Arabidopsis thaliana: one gene and its partner. The protein of the gene in region 2 purifies or fractionates together with the protein of the main gene of each other region. This does not show direct contact. Each region holds a gene or a part of one and is shown on either strand. Other genes may lie near its edges.

Region 1 (11,132 bases), about 11 Mb from region 2:
TCTTTCTCCCCCAGATATCATGCACAATGAGGCATATATTCCTTTTCAAGAGCCGCAACTCCTCTCCAAGCTGTACATGTTCGTCCCGCAAGTTGAGTATTCTCTGATTCTCATCATTGTAGCTGAGATTCAGAAAATCTCTTACCAAACATGTCTCCGTCTACAGTCTTGAGAAACATATCCCAAGCAAACCTATCGAAAATGACACCTTACTTTTTGGTGATGGAAAATCTGTTTGGCGAAAATATAAATCATTCATCAACTTGGACGTTATCTTCACGGAACTTCCTGCTTAACTCGGAGCTTGAATTATTCATCCATTCAAATCGTTGCATGTTTTATTGTATCAATTGATGGTGTTTTTTAAAGTTCTTTTTAATTTGTTTGATGAGAACATAACAGATTATTTGTTTAGTTTATATAGAGGTGAGTATTTAGAATTCTTTTTCTTTTAGGATTAATAATTAATTGTAAAATTAATTCTTTATTGTATTTTATATAATAAAATGGTATATTTTTTAAATCCATTATTCATATTCTAGTTTAAGTGTTCGGTTTTTTCTTTCTATTACCCTAATTTCTGTTGTAGTTTTTATTTAATTGGAATACCTTGAATTTCAAGAAAGCATGCATAGAATGTTTTTGTTTTTTTTTGCTTGTGTCGTCTCTTACTATTGCAACATATGCAATTAGCATGTTCTTACTTCCATTGCTACTAACTCCATTTGAAACATATGATTTGATGTTCTCATATACTCTTTGCCACTCGTTCCATGTACTTATCATTGCCAGAAATCCTCCAAGAACTGTTATAGCTAGAGGTAAACCTCCACACCTTACAATTATCTGCTTCCCAATCTCCTCCATTTTCTTAACCAACATTGGCTCTGCATATCAGGTGAATAAGTGTGTCAAGTATGATAGTATATATGCTGCAGAAAGATTAGAGCCTAATGATTACCTATATTTTCTCTTCCAGATAATGAAATTTTCTCCAACAGCTCCCAACTCTCTTCACATGTTAGCTTCAATTGTTGCTCATGAAGCACACCCCTGGGATCAGCATATAAAGCGACCAATGCTGCATATTGAGGTTAGCTTCTCTTTTGTTCTCAAGTTTGTCACCATTGTAAATGAGCAGCTGGAAAAGAAACAACTCTTAAGGGATATGCGGTACGCAGTTGCTGCAACTAGGGAGTTACTTCCGTCGTTGATGAACGACTACTAGTTTTCTGTGTCCAAATACTTTTCTGAATCAGTTCATCCGAGATCTTTTTTCCTTCTGTAAAAATAATAATATTTTTTCTTCTTTTTTTGCAGATTTCTTCTTATATCACAAGTATTCTCTATGGCTAGTCTCTTATTATATGCATCTATTTTGTCTACTGAAGACATAACTTGCAACATTTCTTGGAGTTTTTGGTCTTGATCAAGTATGTTTTTTCTGCCTCTCTGTGATTGAAACTGTGTTCTTTGAAAACTGGACTCAGATTGATTTTAGATGTGAATGACTCTAATCGAATTAGTACTGGTTCTTGTTGATGTATCTGACTTTCATTTTTAACTTTTTATTTCTTACAGGTTCATCCAGTTATCATCTGTAGCTGGATATGTGAAGTGTCTTCTTGCGAACTTATGTCTTAACTTTGAAATACTTTGAATAACGATGATAATTTGGAGTAATGATGGTAATTTGATCAAATTGTGTTTGGCTTTTTGGTGTGTCCATTTGCAGAGATATATTGCTTTTTAATAACGAGAAAAATGTTATTTAATACCCTAATTTTCAAATTATAACCGTTTTATACGTCAACTTTATATATGGTCATTTTAAACATGATGTTATCGTTGACCACCATTTAAACCATGAATATTTCGTTGACCAGGCCAAAAAAAATAGTCGTTAACGGATTATTCAACTCCCGTTAACACCTCCGTTAACCATTCTAAACGATGTCGTTTTCGTTACTATAAATCATGTTTTACCCTTTTATAAGCTTTTAAAATCCCTTGTAAATCATTCCAATGCCACTTACTTATGCTTAAAAAAACATTGTAAACCATGCTAGCCCTTTTTAAAAATCCTTGTAAATCATTTTATGCCACTTACTTATGCTTTAAAAACGATGATAAATCATGTTTTACCTTTTTATAAGCTTTTAAAATCCCTTGTAAATCATTCAATGCCACTTACTTATGCTTTAAAAACGATTGTAAATCATGTTTTACCCTTTTATAAGCTTTTAAAATCCCTTGTAAATCATTCAATGCCACTTACTTATGCTTTAAAAACGATTGTAAATCATGTTTTACCCTTTTATAAGCTTTTAAAATCCCTTGTAAATCATTCAATGCCACTTACTTATGCTTAAAAAACGATTGTAAACCATGCTAACCTTTTTTAAATCCCTTGTAAATCATTTTATGCCACTTACTTATGCTTTAAAACGATTGTAAATCATGTTTTACCCTTTTATAAGTTTTCAAAATCCCTTGTAAATCATTCAATGCCACTTACTTATGCTTAAAAAACGATTGTAAATCTTGTAAAACTATTGTAAAAAGTTTTAAAATGATTTACAAAGGTTTAAAAAGGGGTTTTAAAGTATTTACCTATGTTTTTAAAGACTTTATAAAGATTTTAAGAGGTTTTAAAATGATTTACAAGGGTTTTTAGCAATTACCAAAGATTTTAAAAAACTTTACAAGGTTTTTTAAAAGAGTTTTTAAAAAATTTACAAGGATTTTTAAAAGCATTTTTTTTGCTGGGAAACAAAATTTACGAGAAAAAATTTTGGCGGGAAATTTATTTTTGGCGGGATTTTTTTTTTTTTGGCGGGAAAAAAAGGTTTGGAGGTGTTCTTCAATGAATAGGGGTGCTTGATGAGGCTTGTATTAAATGGTAGAAGTCCATGGAGAAATCGAAGTGTTCAAAATCGGAGGTGTTCTTCAATGGAAGCTTTACTATGGAAATGTTTTGTTTCGTTAAAGATGAAGAAGAAGAACTTTAAGCGTATATAAGTATCTGTGTTTGTATAGAATGACAGAGAAATCTTTGCAGGTAGAGTGGTCAAATGACCTTTGATTTTTCTCAAATGATAGGGGTTCGAATCCCAGGTCTGTCATTTCTTTTTAAAGAAAAACGAAAACGACGTCGTTTAGAATGGTTAATGGAGGTGTTAACGGGAGTTGAATAATCCGTTAACGACTAATTTTTTTGGCCTGGTCAATAAAATATTCATGGTTTAAATGGTGATCAACGATAACTTCATGTTTAAAATGACCATATATAAAGTTAACGTATAAAACTGTCATAATTTGAAAGTTGAGGTATTAAATAACATTTTTCCCTTTTAATAACTGTAACCAATATGTAACAGAAATCCATCCAACCCAATTTGATCAATAGCGTAAAAACTCATTATTGTTATAAAATTTTAGGTAGTTTACATCAAAATAATATCATTCATTTTTTATACTATAAAAATAGTATTTAGATTAATATTTAACAAGAATAAGAATAATTTTTATATATAGATCATATCAATCCACATAATAAAAAGAGAAAAACTCAAATATGAAAAAAATTCAAGTAACAAAAATATATTAGAATTACATTTGGTTGATTGGAAAAAAAAAAATTACGTGTAAAACTATAGTATTATCTGAGAAACGAATACAAAAATTTGCAACAGTAGCAGCAAAACAAATTCAAAACTTGCGGCAACGACAACAGCAACAACAACAACGAAACAAACAATAACATGCGAGGCAGTCTCACGGCTAGTGGCAGCAAACCCAACAGTTTATCTAAACGAGAACCAAAATTTACTCTCGTTTTTTTTTTAATGTTATCCTTTGATGAACAAAATGTATTTTCCAAATTTTACTTTTTTTATTTTTTAAGTATTATCCCTTAAAATAATATATCTTGCGGAAAAGGAATCGGATTAAATAAATTTTAACGGTAGAAAATAGGATAGGAGGAGAGAGAGAAGGTCTTTTATTGGTTTGAATGAGATTAGTGAAGGCAGCTTCTCTTCTGATTTCTTCAACCAAACCTCCGTCTAGGGTTTTTTACTCTTCCCATCTCCGCCGCCCTTTTTTCTCTCACTTCCGTTTTTCTTCCTCTTCGTCGACGTCTTCCTCCGTCGCAGTCATGCCGGGTTCCGAACCATCGGAGACTCAGTGGCCAGCAAAGAGAGTCCGGGATACTTATGTCGATTTCTTCAGAGGCAAAGGCCACAAGTTCTGGCCATCAAGCCCCGTTGTTCCTCATAATGATCCTACTCTTCTCTTCGCTAACGCTGGTACGATAACTTCGATTCCTCATATCTGTTTTTGCCGATAAGATTGGGAATTTGTCCAAGTTGATCTATGGAATTCAGATTCTATAGAGTTGACTTATTCTGTCTTCTTTTGTCTTTGAAGCTTTGGGACTTATTCAAATTTCTCAATTTCAGTTTTGGTCGAAATTTTCTGATATTGATACTGAGCTATGTAAATTAAGTTCTCTTGATATGTCTGGCGAAAAATAGAATTATTAATGACATTGAAACTTCTCTGTTTTTCAAGGAATGAACCAGTATAAGCCAATATTTTTGGGTACGGCCGATCCAAATACTGAGCTTAGCAAGCTATCTCGGGCATGTAACACCCAAAAGTGTATTCGTGCTGGTGGAAAGCATAATGATTTGGATGATGTCGGCAAAGATACGTACCATCACACCTTCTTTGAAATGCTTGGTAACTGGTCCTTTGGAGATTATTTCAAGAAGGAAGCTATCGAATGGGCTTGGGAGCTCTTAACCAAGGTAATTAAATACCTGGGAAATTTGTCTCTGTTTACTTGATTTAAGAAAAATATACATGGTATTATTCAGTAAACTATTGTCTCCCTCCCTTGGGACGGTATGTCTCAATTTTGTTAAGTGATTCTTCTCTTTTCATTTGGTTGTACATTTCAGTTTTGTAAAGTGATTCTTCTCTTTTCATTTGGTTGTACATTTCAGTTAGATACCTTGTGACAGTATTTCATAATTTTGTAAAGTTACTATTCTCTTTTCGTTGAGGTTGTTTATTTCATTGAGGTTGATACCTCCCTGTTTTCATGCCTCAGGTCTATGGGCTACCGACTGATCGAATCTACGCTACATATTTTGGCGGTGATGAGAAAGCTGGCCTTCAACCTGATAATGAGGCTAGGGATATATGGTTGAAGGTTCTTCCATCTGGACGTGTGCTGCCATTTGGTTGCAAAGTATGTATTGATTATTTAAGATAATAACTTTTAATCTGTTACCTAATTTTTTTGAATCCACTACTCATTGATTTCCTCTCTCCTGAGGTTACTTCACAAGTACTTCAGCTAAGTTGCCTTTGTATTGTCACCATTGTTTCTTGTATATATTGACACATCTGTTTGTCAATGCTAACGACAACCAACTGTAAGCTTGAATGCATTTTGGCTAGGAATACGCTATCATGTTTGGTAGTTGGCAGGCTTTAAAAACCATTGTTTATGATTTACAGTCAAAATCTTGTACAAAATGTAAAACTTAAGGGTTTTTAAATGCTGTTTTTCTTTCATTTAACTTTTGATTAAACTGCAGGACAATTTCTGGGAAATGGGCGACACAGGTCCGTGTGGACCTTGTACTGAAATACATTATGATCGCATTGGTAACCGTGATGCTGCATCCTTAGTTAACAATGACGATCCAACATGTTTAGAAATATGGAATCTTGTCTTTATTCAGGTACAAACCCTCTCTGTCCCAATTGTTATTTAGTTCCATTTTACTAATCTTTATCTCAATATCACAATTGTTTTAATGATTTTGTAGATTGTGTTACTGAAAACTCTATATTGTGCAGTTAGCTAGATTGTTATTGCTCCTTTAGCTGTGCTATCATATTCCCAATTGTTTCCTCTGACTGGGATGTTACTTATGTCTTCAAAATAGTTCAACCGAGAAAGTGATGGCTCGCTAAAACCTCTGCCTGCTAAGCATGTTGATACCGGGATGGGCTTCGAGAGGTTGACTTCTGTTCTTCAAAACAAAATGAGCAACTATGATACAGATGTGTTCATGCCTATCTTTGATGACATCCAAAAGGTAATTTGTGAAAACTTCTGTTGATGGTTTCATGACAGCTGTTTAATGATGGTTTCATTGAGTTATTTTTGTTTGGCCTCCTCTTAGGGACGCATTTGTCACCTTAATTAGTACTATCATCATTTTAGTTCATCAATTTTGAAGTGGATCATGGGTTCTATGCTTTACGTCGAGACTCCGTCAATTGTTTTTGAATATTTCTGGTTTATTGAATTTGGATTTCATGATAAAGGCATTCTACTATGGGTATCCTGGAGATTATTCGTTGTTAGCTGTGTCACTTTTCATGTATTTTTCTTAGTGAGAGGATTGAAAAAATCTTCAAATTGCTCTGTTTACCCTAGTTGTTGCGAATCTTAAGTTTAGGTGTTGATGCTTTCACTTTTTTAGGCAACGGGAGCTAGGCCATATTCTGGAAAAGTTGGTCCGGAAGATGTTGACAGAGTTGACATGGCATATAGAGTGGTTGCTGATCATATTAGAACCCTATCATTTGCAATTGCGGATGGCTCTCGTCCTGGTATATACTTGGTTTCTTGTCTCAATCACAATTGTGGTGGTTACAGAAAATACAATCGTCTTAGTATTCAATCATTTATTTGAGTTCATACTTATATGTTCTCAGAAAAAGTGTTTTTGGTTCATTTATTCTAAGTTGGGCATGATGAGTTTGTCAATTTTCTTCCTCAGACAATCTGTTATGTTATACAAATAGAGGTTTGTTATTTCTTGTAGTCTAACAAGTACCAATTAATATACTATCTCTTGCAGGTAATGAGGGCCGTGAGTATGTTCTGCGGCGTATTCTTCGTCGAGCGGTTCGCTATGGAAAGGAGATCCTAAAAGCTGAAGAAGGATTTTTCAACGGGTAGGAAATTATGTTTGATTTTCGTTGCATGTTTTGTTTGAATATTGTTTCAAATATTGTTTCGTTGTAGCTGGAACGTTTATTTCTGTCTTGTATCTTTATAAATGAGCATATTTTTTTGACACATGTTTTATCTCGGGCTTTCATATTACCTGTAGGCTTGTAAGTTCTGTCATTCGGGTGATGGGCGATGTCTTTACAGAGTTGAAGGAACATGAGAAAAAGATCACAGATATAATTAAAGAAGAGGAAGCAAGCTTTTGCAAGACCTTGGCAAAGGTAAGGGCTGGATTTAATTTCCGTCAAAGCTTTGAACCTCTTATCTTATTTTGTTTTGGGTTCTTCTGGCTCGTCGCACTGAAGTAAAAGAGACAGTTCACAGCTTCAATCAGTGGCATGTGATATTTCTGTATAGATTGTTTCCAATTTCATCATTGTTCAGTTTTAATGATGGTTAGACATAATTATAGTATTTTCTATAGGGAATCTTTTTTCTGAAAGATGAATTGGCTTTACCTGGTCGTTCCTCCCTTTTTTATGTGAATAGGTGGTGAGTATAAGAACAGTTAGACTGATTATAAATTTTCACGGCAGGGAATTGAGAAATTTCGGAAAGCTGGACAGGCGGTTCAGGGGAATACACTGAGTGGAGATGTACGTATCGAATCATTTTTGTGATGTATGTTAGGCGTTGCAGTATTTTCATCTGGGATGTTTGAATTCTATCTCAACATGTTGTCTTCTCTTTGCAGGATGCTTTTATCTTATGGGATACATATGGTTTCCCGTTAGATTTAACTCAGGTACGTAAGTCATTTATACTTATTTCTGAATGTTCGTGTTATTTTCTAACTTTTATTCTCGGGGTTCAGTTGATGGCTGAAGAAAGAGGGTTACTGGTTGATGTTGATGGTTTCAACAAAGCCATGGAAGAGGCGAGGGAAAGATCGAGAAGTGCCCAGAATAAGGTGTTTCAACTTTCCTCTTGTTTACTTTCTTAAAGAGCGTTTAATGCCAAACTTACGTGTGACTATGAACGAAGTTTGCAATCACATCATCTATTAACCAATCTTTTAATGTCATTTTTTTATAGCAAGCTGGTGGTGCCATTGTTATGGATGCTGATGCTACATCAACATTGCACAAGGCTGGTGTTTCAGCAACAGATGATTCTTTTAAATACATTTGGTTCCAGGTTTGTCCTTTTATTCCAGAAAACTTGCATGTTGCACCTGAAATGTTCTTATGTTGGCGTAGAAATGAAGAAGTTAGGGCATATAATAGTAAATGGATTTTGCTTTAAAGAAACCTTTATTGGTACTCTGCCACATATCGCTGCAGGACCACGAGAGTGAACTAAAGGCAATCTATACTGGCTCTACTTTCCTAGAAAGTTCAGCTGCTAGTGATAACGTGGGACTAGTATTGGGGTCTACAAGCTTCTATGCTGAGCAGGGTGGTCAGGTAATCCATTTTATTTGATATGTATTTTAGTTTGCTAATTGTTTTTCATTTCTGATCATATGACTGGTGGCATGAAATTGCAGTCTTCAGTATGTTCATCTTGGATTTGTATATATATACAAATGTAGACATGGCAGTAACACCATGAACACAATCATATCAGAACTGCATTGTTTGAATTTATGTATCGGCTGGCAAATACCATGATATAGTTATTGTTGGTTTTGCATACTAATTTCTGAAGTTGTCGTTGACAGTCACATAAATATTTTTAGATTTCATATCCATGAACAAGGTTAAGCTTTTGATTCACTTCCAATCATCTATATGTATATAAACTCTGTGCCTCTAACATTTTTTCTCTGGCAATAGATTTTTGACACTGGACTTATAGAAGGCTCGTTTGGGACATTCAATGTATGCAATGTACAAATATTTGGGGGCTTTGTTCTTCACATTGGTTATCTCTCTAAAGAAACTGGAGAGGTATCTGTGGGTGATAAAGTGATTTGCAAGGTAACTCTCTGCATCAAACAGTGTTTGTCTCATTCACCATATTTGGTACTATCCAATTTGTTTCCACCTTCGTTTTCATGCGTATAGGTTGACTATGAGAGGCGTAAACTCATCGCTCCTAATCATACTTGCACACATATGTTGAATTATGCCCTGAAGGTATCCCTTTTCTATAATTTAAGTAACCTAAACTGTGATTTTCTAATTTTTTCTATTGGATCTGAAAATATTCATGTCCCATGAATTCAGGAAGTGCTCGGGGATCATATTGATCAGAAGGGATCAATTGTTCTTCCTGAAAAACTGCGATTTGATTTTTCTCATGGTACATTTTTGAATAAAGTCATTTTTATTTTGATGTGGATGGTCATCTTAATTGTCTGATGGGTTCCATAATTTCGAGTAGGCAAGCCGGTTGATCCTGAAGATTTGAGAAGGATCGAATCCATAGTGAATAAACAGATCAAGGATGAATTAGATGTGTTTTCCAAGGAAGCTGTGCTTTCTGAAGCCAAGCGCATCAAAGGTCTAAGAGCAGTGTTTGGAGAAGTAAGCTGTCCATCAGTTCTGTAGCTATACCTTTTTAGTTTGGTTTCTAAGAATTGTTAAAGCGTTCTCTCTTACTCTTTTTAGGTCTACCCCGATCCCGTCAGAGTGGTGTCAATTGGGAGGAAGGTTGAGGATCTCTTGGCTGATCCTGAAAACAATGAATGGTCATTGCTTTCTTCCGAGTTTTGTGGAGGTCTGTTTCCATTGGCATTAGCTATTGGGACCAAGATATTACGTTCTGAATAGAATGTTGAGTATAGGGTTATTTTGACAATTCCAGGAACCCACATAACAAACACCCGCGAAGCCAAAGCATTTGCTCTTCTATCGGAGGAGGGAATTGCTAAAGGTATTCGTAGGGTAACTGCTGTGACTACTGAATGTGCTTTTGATGCATTGAATGCGGCGTCCTTACTTGAAAGAGAAGTAGAGGATGCCTCCAGAGCGGAGGGAAGTGCATTGGAAAAGGTTTTCTCCCTCTCTTTGTCAAACTATTGACAAAATGAAGACGATGTCGTTACTTGGATTCACGTAAAACTTATTGTGTTTGTATTTGCACATTCACAGAAAGTTTCTGCTTTGAAAAGCCGAGTAGATGCAGCAATTATCCCAGCAGCTAAAAAGGCAGATATTAGGACTAAGATTGCTTCGCTTCAGGTTATAAGCTCTTTCAGCCTTACAGTCAGCAGCTTTGTCTAGATTTCCCTGTAATTTTGTAATCAAAGCAATTCTGAAGTGGCAATTATTGTTTTCCTAACTTCGCAGAATGAAGTAAGAAAAGCTCAGAAGAAAATAGCGGAACAAAACCTGAAAAAATCTGTCAAATTAGCAACAGAGGCAGCTGAGTCCGCAGCATCAGATGGGAAGACTTTCTGCATAATCCAGCTGGATGTGGGTCTTGATGCAGCAGCTGTGCGAGAGGCCGTTTCAAAAGTCATGGAAAAGAAGGTAATCCGTATTTTCTTACATCATCACTTGTACCATAACCTGTTCATAGATAGCAAGAAAGTTAAATTAACGTTTCCGTTTGATTAACCTTGCAGGGTATGTCGATAATGGTGTTCAGCACAGATGAAAGCACAAACAAGGCGGTTGTGTGTGCAGGAGTGCCAGAAAAATCAGACCAGTTTAAGCCGTTAGACGTCACTGAATGGTTGACAACTGCATTGGGTCCTCTAAAAGGAAGGTGCGGGAAAGGGAAAGGTGGTCTTGCATCAGGGCAGGTATGAGTCCTATTCTCTTTAGTCTACAATGTGATAGTATCATCTACAAAGAGATGTTAAATCTTCAACATGTTGTTTTGGTTTTAGGGAACGGATGCTTCTCAAGTGCAGGCGGCTTTGGATATGGCTTCATCATTTGCATCAATGAAGCTCAACTGATTTGGTCGGGAGGTTACATAATCTGTGAGGTCAGAATAACCTCTACTTAATTTGCTTTCATTGTACACCGTTTTACACATGTTTTAAGAATCTGTTAAATTTCTCTGTTCTTGTGATGGAATTTGTGGTATCACACTCTTTTAGTCAAAGTTACCAATGGCTGTTATAATCCCTTGTGAAATGATCCTTTCCCGTTTGCGTTGAAATGGTTATTTAAAAAAAAAAAATAGGATT
Region 2 (10,275 bases):
CGTATCTGGGAGGGGAAGTTTGGGAAGGGTCTTGGTTTACGGGTTGTTGAGCTAACTGGGGAGACAGCATTGGATCTTAAGCTGCTTGAGAAAGGCCAGATAATCATAAGTACTCCTGAGAAATGGGATGCTCTTTCCCGCAGGTGGAAACAGAGAAAATATGTTCAACAAGTTAGTCTTTTCATCGTCGACGAACTCCATCTAATTGGAGGTCAACATGGTCCAGTGTTGGAGGTAATCGTTTCCAGAATGAGATATATTTCAAGTCAGGTCATTAATAAGATCAGGATTGTTGCGCTATCCACTTCGCTTGCAAATGCAAAAGATCTTGGGGAGTGGATTGGGGCCAGTTCCCACGGCCTTTTCAACTTCCCTCCCGGAGTCCGTCCTGTTCCACTGGAGATCCACATTCAGGGAGTGGATATATCCAGTTTTGAAGCCAGGATGCAGGCGATGACCAAACCAACCTACACCGCCATAGTTCAGCACGCCAAGAACAAGAAGCCGGCTATTGTTTTCGTCCCAACCCGTAAACATGTCCGCTTGACTGCTGTGGATCTGATGGCTTATTCTCACATGGATAACCCGCAGAGTCCTGATTTCTTGTTAGGGAAGCTGGAAGAACTGGACCCTTTTGTTGAACAAATCCGCGAGGAAACACTGAAGGAGACACTGTGTCATGGTATTGGATACTTGCATGAGGGTTTAAGCAGTCTGGATCAGGAGATTGTGACACAGCTCTTTGAAGCTGGACGGATTCAGGTTTGTGTGATGAGCAGTTCATTGTGTTGGGGCACTCCATTAACTGCGCATTTGGTGGTCGTAATGGGAACGCAGTATTACGATGGGAGGGAAAATTCACATTCTGATTATCCAGTCCCTGATCTGCTTCAGATGATGGGGCGTGCTAGCCGACCACTTCTTGACAATGCCGGGAAGTGTGTGATCTTTTGTCATGCACCGCGGAAGGAGTATTACAAGAAGTTTTTGTACGAAGCCTTCCCTGTGGAAAGTCAGCTCCAGCATTTCTTGCATGATAATTTCAACGCAGAAGTGGTTGCTGGGGTTATAGAGAACAAGCAAGATGCCGTGGATTATCTTACATGGACTTTCATGTACAGGAGGCTTCCCCAGAACCCTAACTACTACAATCTCCAAGGTGTTAGCCACAGGCATTTGTCTGATCACCTATCAGAGCTGGTTGAGAACACCTTGTCTGATCTTGAAGCCAGTAAATGCATTGAGGTAGAGGATGAGATGGAACTCTCTCCTCTCAACCTTGGTATGATTGCATCCTATTATTACATCAGTTATACCACCATTGAGCGCTTCAGTTCACTGTTGTCTTCTAAAACCAAGATGAAGGGACTTCTTGAAATCTTAACATCGGCTTCAGAGTATGACATGATTCCTATACGGCCTGGCGAAGAGGACACCGTTCGAAGATTAATCAATCACCAGAGGTTCTCTTTTGAAAACCCAAAATGCACAGACCCTCATGTGAAGGCAAACGCGCTTCTTCAGGCGCATTTCTCAAGGCAAAACATTGGCGGGAACTTGGCAATGGATCAGCGTGATGTCCTTCTATCTGCAACCAGACTTCTTCAAGCGATGGTCGATGTGATATCAAGCAATGGCTGGCTGAATCTTGCTCTGCTAGCTATGGAAGTAAGCCAGATGGTGACTCAAGGCATGTGGGAGCGGGACTCCATGCTTCTGCAGCTCCCTCACTTCACAAAAGACTTGGCCAAGAGGTGCCAGGAGAATCCAGGGAAAAACATTGAAACCGTATTCGATCTTGTGGAGATGGAGGATGAAGAACGCCAAGAGCTTCTCAAGATGTCAGACGCTCAGCTTCTAGACATTGCCAGATTCTGCAACCGCTTCCCAAACATCGACCTTACTTACGAGATTGTGGGCAGTGAAGAGGTGAACCCAGGGAAAGAGGTTACATTGCAAGTGATGCTTGAGAGAGACATGGAGGGGAGGACAGAAGTGGGACCTGTGGATTCACTGAGGTATCCCAAGACCAAAGAAGAAGGATGGTGGCTGGTCGTGGGCGACACCAAGACAAACCAGTTGCTGGCAATCAAGCGTGTCTCATTGCAACGGAAAGTGAAGGTGAAGCTGGATTTCACAGCACCGAGTGAACCAGGAGAGAAGTCATACACACTATACTTCATGTGTGACTCTTACTTGGGGTGTGACCAAGAGTACTCGTTCTCTGTTGATGTCAAAGGATCCGGCGCTGGAGATCGCATGGAAGAATGATTTGTTATTCAGGTTAGTTCCACAGTTTTCTGGTCATAGTTTTCGGATTTAGATTCTGTACATGGTTGTAGTTTTTGTGTTACGAACTTGGCTTTACTAGATTCTGCTATGTGCATTGACCAACTCGCTTTCATCTATTGTTTGAGTAATTTGTTCATCAATCTGCTATTTTTCTGTTTCGTCTGTTTTCTTTTTGCATGAGCTATGTATTAGGTTTTACTCTTGAGCATTGATTTACTTATCTAGGTATTAGAATACAGGTATGCTCATGGTATATATATACCTAGTATTGTGAAATGATTGATTGATAAGTTAGTGAACAATGTTGATCAGCAAATTGTTAGAAATCTGTATAATTGGATGGTGATTTGATGTGTGCTTTGGATGGTGATTTGATATGTGTGCATCACTGCTATATGAAAACTGCTTTCTTGAATCATGTCTCATAAAAATCTCACATGATGTTCCTTTAAAATAGCTGATAATAGATTTTGTATTTTGAAATCCAGAAAATGACACATAATTTCTCTTCTTTGCAGGCTATGCTGATTCTGGAGAGTGTGACTTGTCTTCCAAAAAGCCTCCGTACCGTTTGGGTCTCTGCAATCTTAGCTCTCTGAGAATATATATTAAGGTGTAATCGTTTTTTTCTGGTCTTTTACTATTCCAATTACTCTTTTTATGTCGTGCATCGATTTTTAATCCTATGTATGGCTTGTTTCTAGTTTTGTTTGGACCAAACTCGACAGAGGAGCCAATGTCAAAACTACAATTTGAGTTTGTGACTTTGAAAGCTGAGATTACTTGAAAGAATTTTAAATGCAGCAGTGTTCATTTTGTAACATCTGAGTTGTGTGATACTGGCTTATTGAGTCACCGATAGTTTTTCCTTAAAACTAAAATGTACTATTGCAAGTAAAAACCAAACAAAAAAAATTCATTCAAACTTGCATTATAACCAAGTAAACGTGATCAATAGAAACTTGCAAAATCACAACCAAAATATTTGTCCAAACAATATGTAGTCAAAACAGTCTGTTGTGTTCATAAAAAAGTCATATAACGATACACCAAAAAGAAAGAAACGGAGGTGTTTGGTTGGTAGTATATTCCTCCTCCTCCTCTTTCTTCTTCTCCCTCCTCACTATATATTTTGAAGTTTATTAACAAGAACCAAAAAAAGTCACACTCGAAGTCTCACACCACACCAACCACTTCTTCTTCTTCTTCTTCTTCTACATAAAACCTAACGCCATGGATTCAGATTTCGGAATCCCCAGAGAACTCTCCCCTCTTCAGCAACTTCGATCTCAGTACAAACCTGAGCTTCCTCCTTGTCTCCAGGTCCCTTCTTCTACTTCATAGATCTACTTCCTTCCATTGTTCCTATCATTGGATTTATTTGAGTACTTAGTTTCTTATTCAATATTATCATTCTTGGATTTCTGCAACTATTCCAAGTTTTTGTTTATCTTAATTCGATGAACTTTGCTCCTTAAGCAGATCTGATTTCTAGATTGTATTGTTCTCGGATCTGTTTTATTTCGATTCCTAAGTTTCATTGGCAGTCTCTTCAGCTTTAATCAGTTGAACTTTGTCATTTTCTTATTCTGCTTGAAATTCGTTTCAGGGGACTACTGTCCGCGTGGAGCTTGGTGATGGAACCACTGTGGCTGAAGCTGCTGATTCACATACCATGGCTCGTGCTTTCCCGCATACCTTAGGCCAGCCTTTGGCTCACTTCCTCAGGGAAACTGCTCAAGTTCCTGATGCGCACATCATTACCGAGCTTCCTTCAGTTAGGTGTGTGAATCTGTTTGCTCTCTATCTATATGTTTCTGGATTGGCGTTTGTGTTTGATTTAAGTTCTATTCAGCTTAAGTTAGTTCTTTTTCTACTGTAGAGTTGGAATTGTGTTTTGTGGAAGGCAAGCTCCAGGTGGACATAATGTGATCTGGGGTCTTTTCGAGGCTCTCAAGGTGCACAACGCAAAAAGCACTTTGCTAGGATTTTTGGGTAAGTTCTATTATTTTTTATACAACTGCATCATTTGCCAGTTTAGAGATTTTTTGTTAGACTTAAGTAAAATTTGTTGTTGACTGATAATAGGTGGTTCCGAGGGTCTATTTGCACAAAAGACTCTAGAGATTACAGATGATATACTTCAGACTTACAAAAACCAAGGTACTTGTTTGATCAAGGCATTGTCGTCAAATGCAGAATCTCCCGTTCATTGCTTCAAGTTCTGATATATTGGTGTTGAAATGTATGTTGTAAGGTGGTTATGATTTGCTCGGAAGAACTAAGGATCAGATCAAAACAACTGAGCAGGTTAACGCTGCACTCAAAGCTTGCACAGATTTGAAGTTAGATGGCCTTGTTATCATTGGAGGTACCTAGCGTTTTTACTTATATTCATTGGCAAATTTTTGTCTTTAATTTTTACTAAACCAAGAATATATATTGTGGTTTTTGAAGGCGTAATATCAAACACAGATGCAGCTCATCTCGCTGAATTTTTTGCTGCTGCAAAATGCTCAACTAAGGTCCTAATTTCTTTTTCTACAGTTTCATTTTAAATTCCTTTATAAAAATGCTACGGTAATTAAGCTCCTATGAAATTACAGGTGGTTGGTGTTCCAGTTACTACAAATGGAGATCTCAAAAATCAGTTTGTGGAGGCAAACGTGGGTTTTGACACCATATGCAAGGTAAAATGTAAACTTTAACCATCTGGTTACTTTGTCTTAGTTATCTTTTGTAGCTATTGCAGCAACATGATGCCGTTGTCCCTCGTAAGTCTTTGCAGAAACTATATGTTATTGTTTGCTAATGATATTTTGCGGCATACAGGTGAACTCACAACTCATTAGCAATGCCTGCACTGATGCCCTTTCTGCAGAGAAGGTAAAAGCTATTTCTTCCTGAACTTTCATGTTGCAAGAGATTGCTAGGGCATTCTTAACTGCAGTTTATTAACTTCATATTCTGATAAGACGAAATATTTCGATGAAGGATGTGAAAGCAGAAAGCTACTACAAAGTTATATTCTTTATGATTCTGATATCAAGTTCTACTTTCTTTTTTATTTGCAGTATTATTATTTCATCCGCCTCATGGGTCGTAAGCACTCTCATGTTGCCCTTGAGTGTACACTCCAGTCTCATCCAAACATGGTTCGTAACTGTTTCAGTTTCGAAACATAGACTATTGATTCTGTTGGCATGTTCATGCTCTAGACTCTCATTATCGTGTCATCCGATTGTCTCAGGTGATACTGGGCGAGGAGGTTGCAGCATCTAAGCTCACAATTTTTGACATTGCTAAACAGATCTGTGATGCTGTTCAAGCAAGAGCAGTAGAAGGTCTCGTAATGAAAACCATCTATGATTAGATTATGCAATCATGTATTTTACTGTGTTTACTAAATCTGGTACTATTTCATTTGTTTGAACCAGACAAGAATCATGGAGTCATCCTCATTCCTGAAGGGCTTATAGTCAGTATTCCTGAAGTCTACGCTCTGTTAAAGGTAATGATTTGATACTTGTTTCTTTCTTCAATACTGAGATGTACTTCTTAGTATAAATCACGTATAAGCTGACATTTGTTTGATGTAGGAAATTCACGGGCTGCTGAGGCAGGGTGTATCTGCTGATAAGATTTCTACTCAGCTCTCACCTTGGTCATCTGCTTTGTTTGAATTTCTTCCTCCATTCATTAAGAAACAGGTTCAAATTCTTTGAAATTAGAATTATCTTTGTTTTCGTTCAAAGCAAAGGTGTATTAATACATATAAGATGGTCGCCTTTCTTGCTACAGCTACTTCTCCATCCTGAGTCTGATGATTCTGCTCAGCTATCCCAGGTAATTATGAAGAACAAACAGAATATTTTGGACCTACTATGTTATAAAAAAAAAGTTGGAATCCTAAATGCTCTTTTTGCTTTCTACTCTAGATTGAGACAGAGAAACTTCTTGCGTATCTCGTGGAGACTGAAATGAACAAGCGCTTGGTATGCTCCAATTTTATCATTGGTTTCTATCTTTTCCCAATACTGTTATCTAAATAATGGAGTCATTATTTGGCATCAAAAAATACTATTGCTAATGTAATGAAATCTTTGAATTTGACAGAAAGAAGGCACATACAAGGGGAAGAAATTCAATGCCATATGTCACTTTTTTGGTTACCAAGCTCGTGGATCTCTTCCATCGAAATTCGATTGTGATTACGCCTACGTAAGTCACTAACAGTCTGTGCCACAGTACCAATGCAACTTCATAATTTAGATGAATATTAACACTATTGAATGGGAGAATCATGCAGGTTCTTGGACATATATGTTACCACATCCTTGCAGCTGGTCTGAATGGTTACATGGCAACAGTGACCAACCTAAAAAGTCCTGTGAACAAGTGGAAATGTGGTGCTACACCTATTACAGTTGAGTTTTGTCGTATTTTCTATCTAAAAGACGGCGGTTAATACAGTGTATTTCTATACTAATTCCCCATTCTTTTATCTCTGGTATTACCTTTTAGGCGATGATGACGGTGAAGCATTGGTCCCAGGATGCTAGTTATACTTTAACTTCAATTGGTAGACCTGCAATTCATCCAGCTATGGTGGATTTGAAAGGCAAAGCATACGAGTAAGTCAGCTATTACAGAAAACATGAACACACTCACGTTTGGCCTTATTTATCAATTGTTTGAATGTGAATGGTTTTCTTGCAGCCTCTTGAGACAGAATGCACAAAAATTCTTGATGGAAGATCTGTACAGAAACCCAGGACCGCTACAGTACGATGGTCCTGGTGCGGATGCTAAAGCAGTGAGTCTCTGTGTTGAAGATCAAGATTACATGGGACGTATCAAGAAGCTGCAGGAATATCTTGACCAAGTAAAAACTTTTTGTTTTTGTGTTTTTCTCTGCTAATTTCGTCAAGTATCGAATAATGTTCTTCGCCACTTTCATATTTATTAACATTTTTGGGGTTTGGTCAGGTGAGGACGATAGTGAAACCAGGATGTTCTCAAGACGTATTGAAGGCAGCACTGAGTGTGATGGCTTCGGTGACTGATGTTCTTACTACTATTTCTTCAAATGGTGGTCAATGATTTGCTTAAAACTTAAGGACAAAGCTCTTATGAATCACACACGTCGTGTTTGTTCTCTTCTTTTTGTTTTCTTTCTTTTGAGATGTAACTTTTGTTGTATTTTTTAAGTTATTGAGTTTGGAAAGACATAAAAATTGAAAAGGTTTGGATTATAGAGGCGCTATTTCACCATATCAATCCTTGTCCAACTTTTATTTTTCAGTTTCACTATTATTACAAACTTTTTTTAAATATGACAATTAGGCATGCATGCATGATGCATATAGCAATAGCATCGCTTGAACACGATTTTGTTTACAAAAAGAATCATTAAAATTTTAAGAGTTACATTTTTAATCTTAACTACACCAAAATACTAGAAATACAGTGTATCTTGCAAACTAACTTTAACAACCAATGACGTGTCATGTTCCCAAATCCCAGTTATAAATTTTGATAGATTTTTGACAGTATCTTAGGTACAGCTTTGGCATAAATACACTTTTATTTATTTTAAAAACTATCTTTAGCCTAAATACATTGTTAGTTATTTAAAAATTAGAAACTAAATGAAGAAATTATTTAGATATTAAGAAATATTTATCATTAAAAGATATTAGATTTTGTCATTTTTTTATATTAGTAAATTTTCTTTGTTCAACTAATGAAATTAATAACTAACAGATTATTTTGCAAAATGACAAACCTATAAAATATATATTAATATTTGATTTTCAAATTATCTTGCAAAATCATTCAAAAATTTAACTAAATTTATATTAATGTTGTATTTGAATTTTTCTTATAATGGTGAGATACTGAGATTATCCTTGATTAGAATTGATTGTTACTTTTTTTTGGTAATAATATGTTGTCTATTATTATATATATATATATATATATATATATATATATATATATGTTGAAAATAACACAAAAATATTCACATACGCCAAGCAAAATAGAATCATGAATAATTTGCCAAGAAATTCTCAATTTGATTCATCTTCCATCATCAATGATTTACCTTTAGACCTTCTCGACGAGATTCTCTTCAGATTAGAACCCAAATCTATGGCTATGATGCGATGCACTAACAATTCTATCAAATCATATTTAAGTGATCCAAGATTTGGACCGGAATATCCTTCATGGGTCAGACCTAGTTTGTTTAACCTTGGTAGCTATGGCGCTACTTATGTATGTTGCCATCCTTTGGTCTCTTCATGCGATTATATGTCACCGGGAAATGGAGTAGAACTGTTTGATGGTAGTGCGGATTGTTACATTTTCGGCTCATGCTCTGGTCTTCTCCTATTGTACATTGGTTGTCTCTTTGTTGCAAATCCCTTAACAAAAAGGTTTCGAATCCTGGATCATTCTGGATCAAAGCTTATACCAATGATAGTTAATGGTGGACTTAAAGGTCTTAGCGGAATTAGTTATCCTGGAGGTAATGTTGCTTGTACGGAACGAGCGATGTGCGTTGGATTTGCGGTAAATCGAAATCTAACAACCAAGAGATTCAAGATCGTGGGCATACTCGAGATGGAAAACGTATACGGATTCGAGATCAACGAAGGAGACTCTTGGAGATTATCGGAAACGAGTATCACCACTAGCTCAAAAAGTGATCTCACTACGCGGATGAAACCTGTTTACTTGGACAACACTCTTCACTGGCTGAGAAACGATGGCAGCATCATGTCTTTTAATCCCGAGACAGAGCAAGCATGCTTGATTCCTTCCATATTTCATCGGGAACCGGATACGAAGCTACTTTTCGCGGAAAGCGTTAAGATCAATCGCCTGACCCTAATTTCGGGGACGATAGAAACAATCTCCGTTTACACACTTGTCGAGAATCACAAATGGACACTCACAAGGCGGATCAAGAACATATCTATCGAGGAAGAAACGCTTGTATATTGGAACATAGCTATGTACGATGGCAAGTGTCTTGTGGTGAGGGTGAAAAAGATGGGTTTAGAACCTTTGGCAAGTGTTCTTCATGTGTACGACATGGAAGCTAACAGTTGGGGAGTTTTGGTGTCAACCCTTGCTTGGCCCAATTGCGTCCGAGATTTCTATAAATTGACGCCCTCCTTGTTCTTTGTAGAGGAGGATGAGCAACAGAAGGTGCTTGTTGCTTCTAATGACCGACGCATCTCCTATATAAATTCGATTATGGGACTCATTGATACCACCAAGTAAACATTTAGGGCCTATAGATTATACAAAAAATGTCCTGATTTATAAGAATGTTTGTTTCCCATTTGCTTTTATCATTGCACTATTATGGTTTATGTATTTCAAATCTAAAAATTAGTTGTATATTACTATTTCTTTTGGGACAAAAAATCATTTAAGACAATGTTGTTTAAGAACTTGTTCTTCTCTGGCTTGTCAATTTTTCGTCCTGCCCAATAAAGGCCCATCTTGTGTGTTTTGTCGAATCTAACAACAAACTCACACCTTTTGACCAAAAAACAAACTCTCCCCTTTTTTTTTTCCTTTCGTGTAGCTAAACCGTCTCCGGATGTTGACAAACATTGGTTATTCACTTTTTCCACGTCACACTTAAAAACAGAACATAAAAAAAAAACTAATGACGACGCTCCAGTTTTGAATTTTGAAAAAAGAAAAAAAGAACCGTTGAAAAAACATGAGTGCTCAAAGAGGGAATATACCTTTTTAATAATCTCCTTCCTATTTAAACCAATTCTCGAATCTAATTACATTTCCTCTCTCTTTCCCCAAATTGAAAACAAAATCTGAGATTCGCGAAGGAAGAAGAAGAGTTGTCTTGAGAGATTGATAGAGATGGACAACAATGGAGTTAAACCCGCTGTTTCCGCCATGGAAGCCTTTGAAAAGCTTGAGAAAGTAGGTGAAGGGACT

The links.
Region 1: the proteins of AT1G20950 (region 2) and ALATS fractionate together in Arabidopsis thaliana (co-fractionation; one large-scale study listed by BioGRID). This does not show direct contact.

Annotation. Positions count from the first base shown.
Region 1 is NC_003070.9:18,591,195-18,602,326, reverse strand, and holds the start of ALATS (Alanyl-tRNA synthetase), read left to right. Parts: upstream 1-3,847; 5' UTR 3,848-4,015; coding exon 4,016-4,310; intron 4,311-4,575; coding exon 4,576-4,814; intron 4,815-5,119; coding exon 5,120-5,260; intron 5,261-5,612; coding exon 5,613-5,759; intron 5,760-5,966; coding exon 5,967-6,119; intron 6,120-6,509; coding exon 6,510-6,639; intron 6,640-6,890; coding exon 6,891-6,987; intron 6,988-7,145; coding exon 7,146-7,266; intron 7,267-7,581; coding exon 7,582-7,641; intron 7,642-7,739; coding exon 7,740-7,790; intron 7,791-7,859; coding exon 7,860-7,955; intron 7,956-8,080; coding exon 8,081-8,182; intron 8,183-8,328; coding exon 8,329-8,451; intron 8,452-8,823; coding exon 8,824-8,967; intron 8,968-9,054; coding exon 9,055-9,126; intron 9,127-9,216; coding exon 9,217-9,292; intron 9,293-9,373; coding exon 9,374-9,516; intron 9,517-9,600; coding exon 9,601-9,709; intron 9,710-9,796; coding exon 9,797-9,984; intron 9,985-10,083; and 8 more.
Region 2 is NC_003070.9:7,294,587-7,304,861, reverse strand, and holds AT1G20950 (Phosphofructokinase family protein), read left to right. Parts: upstream 1-3,228; 5' UTR 3,229-3,525; coding exon 3,526-3,615; intron 3,616-3,901; coding exon 3,902-4,074; intron 4,075-4,174; coding exon 4,175-4,287; intron 4,288-4,380; coding exon 4,381-4,455; intron 4,456-4,549; coding exon 4,550-4,663; intron 4,664-4,749; coding exon 4,750-4,817; intron 4,818-4,898; coding exon 4,899-4,982; intron 4,983-5,124; coding exon 5,125-5,178; intron 5,179-5,366; coding exon 5,367-5,447; intron 5,448-5,542; coding exon 5,543-5,636; intron 5,637-5,729; coding exon 5,730-5,803; intron 5,804-5,891; coding exon 5,892-6,002; intron 6,003-6,093; coding exon 6,094-6,138; intron 6,139-6,230; coding exon 6,231-6,287; intron 6,288-6,408; coding exon 6,409-6,513; intron 6,514-6,601; coding exon 6,602-6,718; intron 6,719-6,816; coding exon 6,817-6,926; intron 6,927-7,011; coding exon 7,012-7,177; intron 7,178-7,281; coding exon 7,282-7,395; 3' UTR 7,396-7,623; and 1 more. Other genes in the region: emb1507 (U5 small nuclear ribonucleoprotein helicase), read left to right, coding at 1-2,271; AT1G20940 (F-box family protein), read left to right, coding at 8,344-9,588; CDKB2;2 (cyclin-dependent kinase B2;2), read left to right, coding at 10,198-10,275. UniProt on the Arabidopsis thaliana protein: Regulatory subunit of pyrophosphate--fructose 6-phosphate 1-phosphotransferase.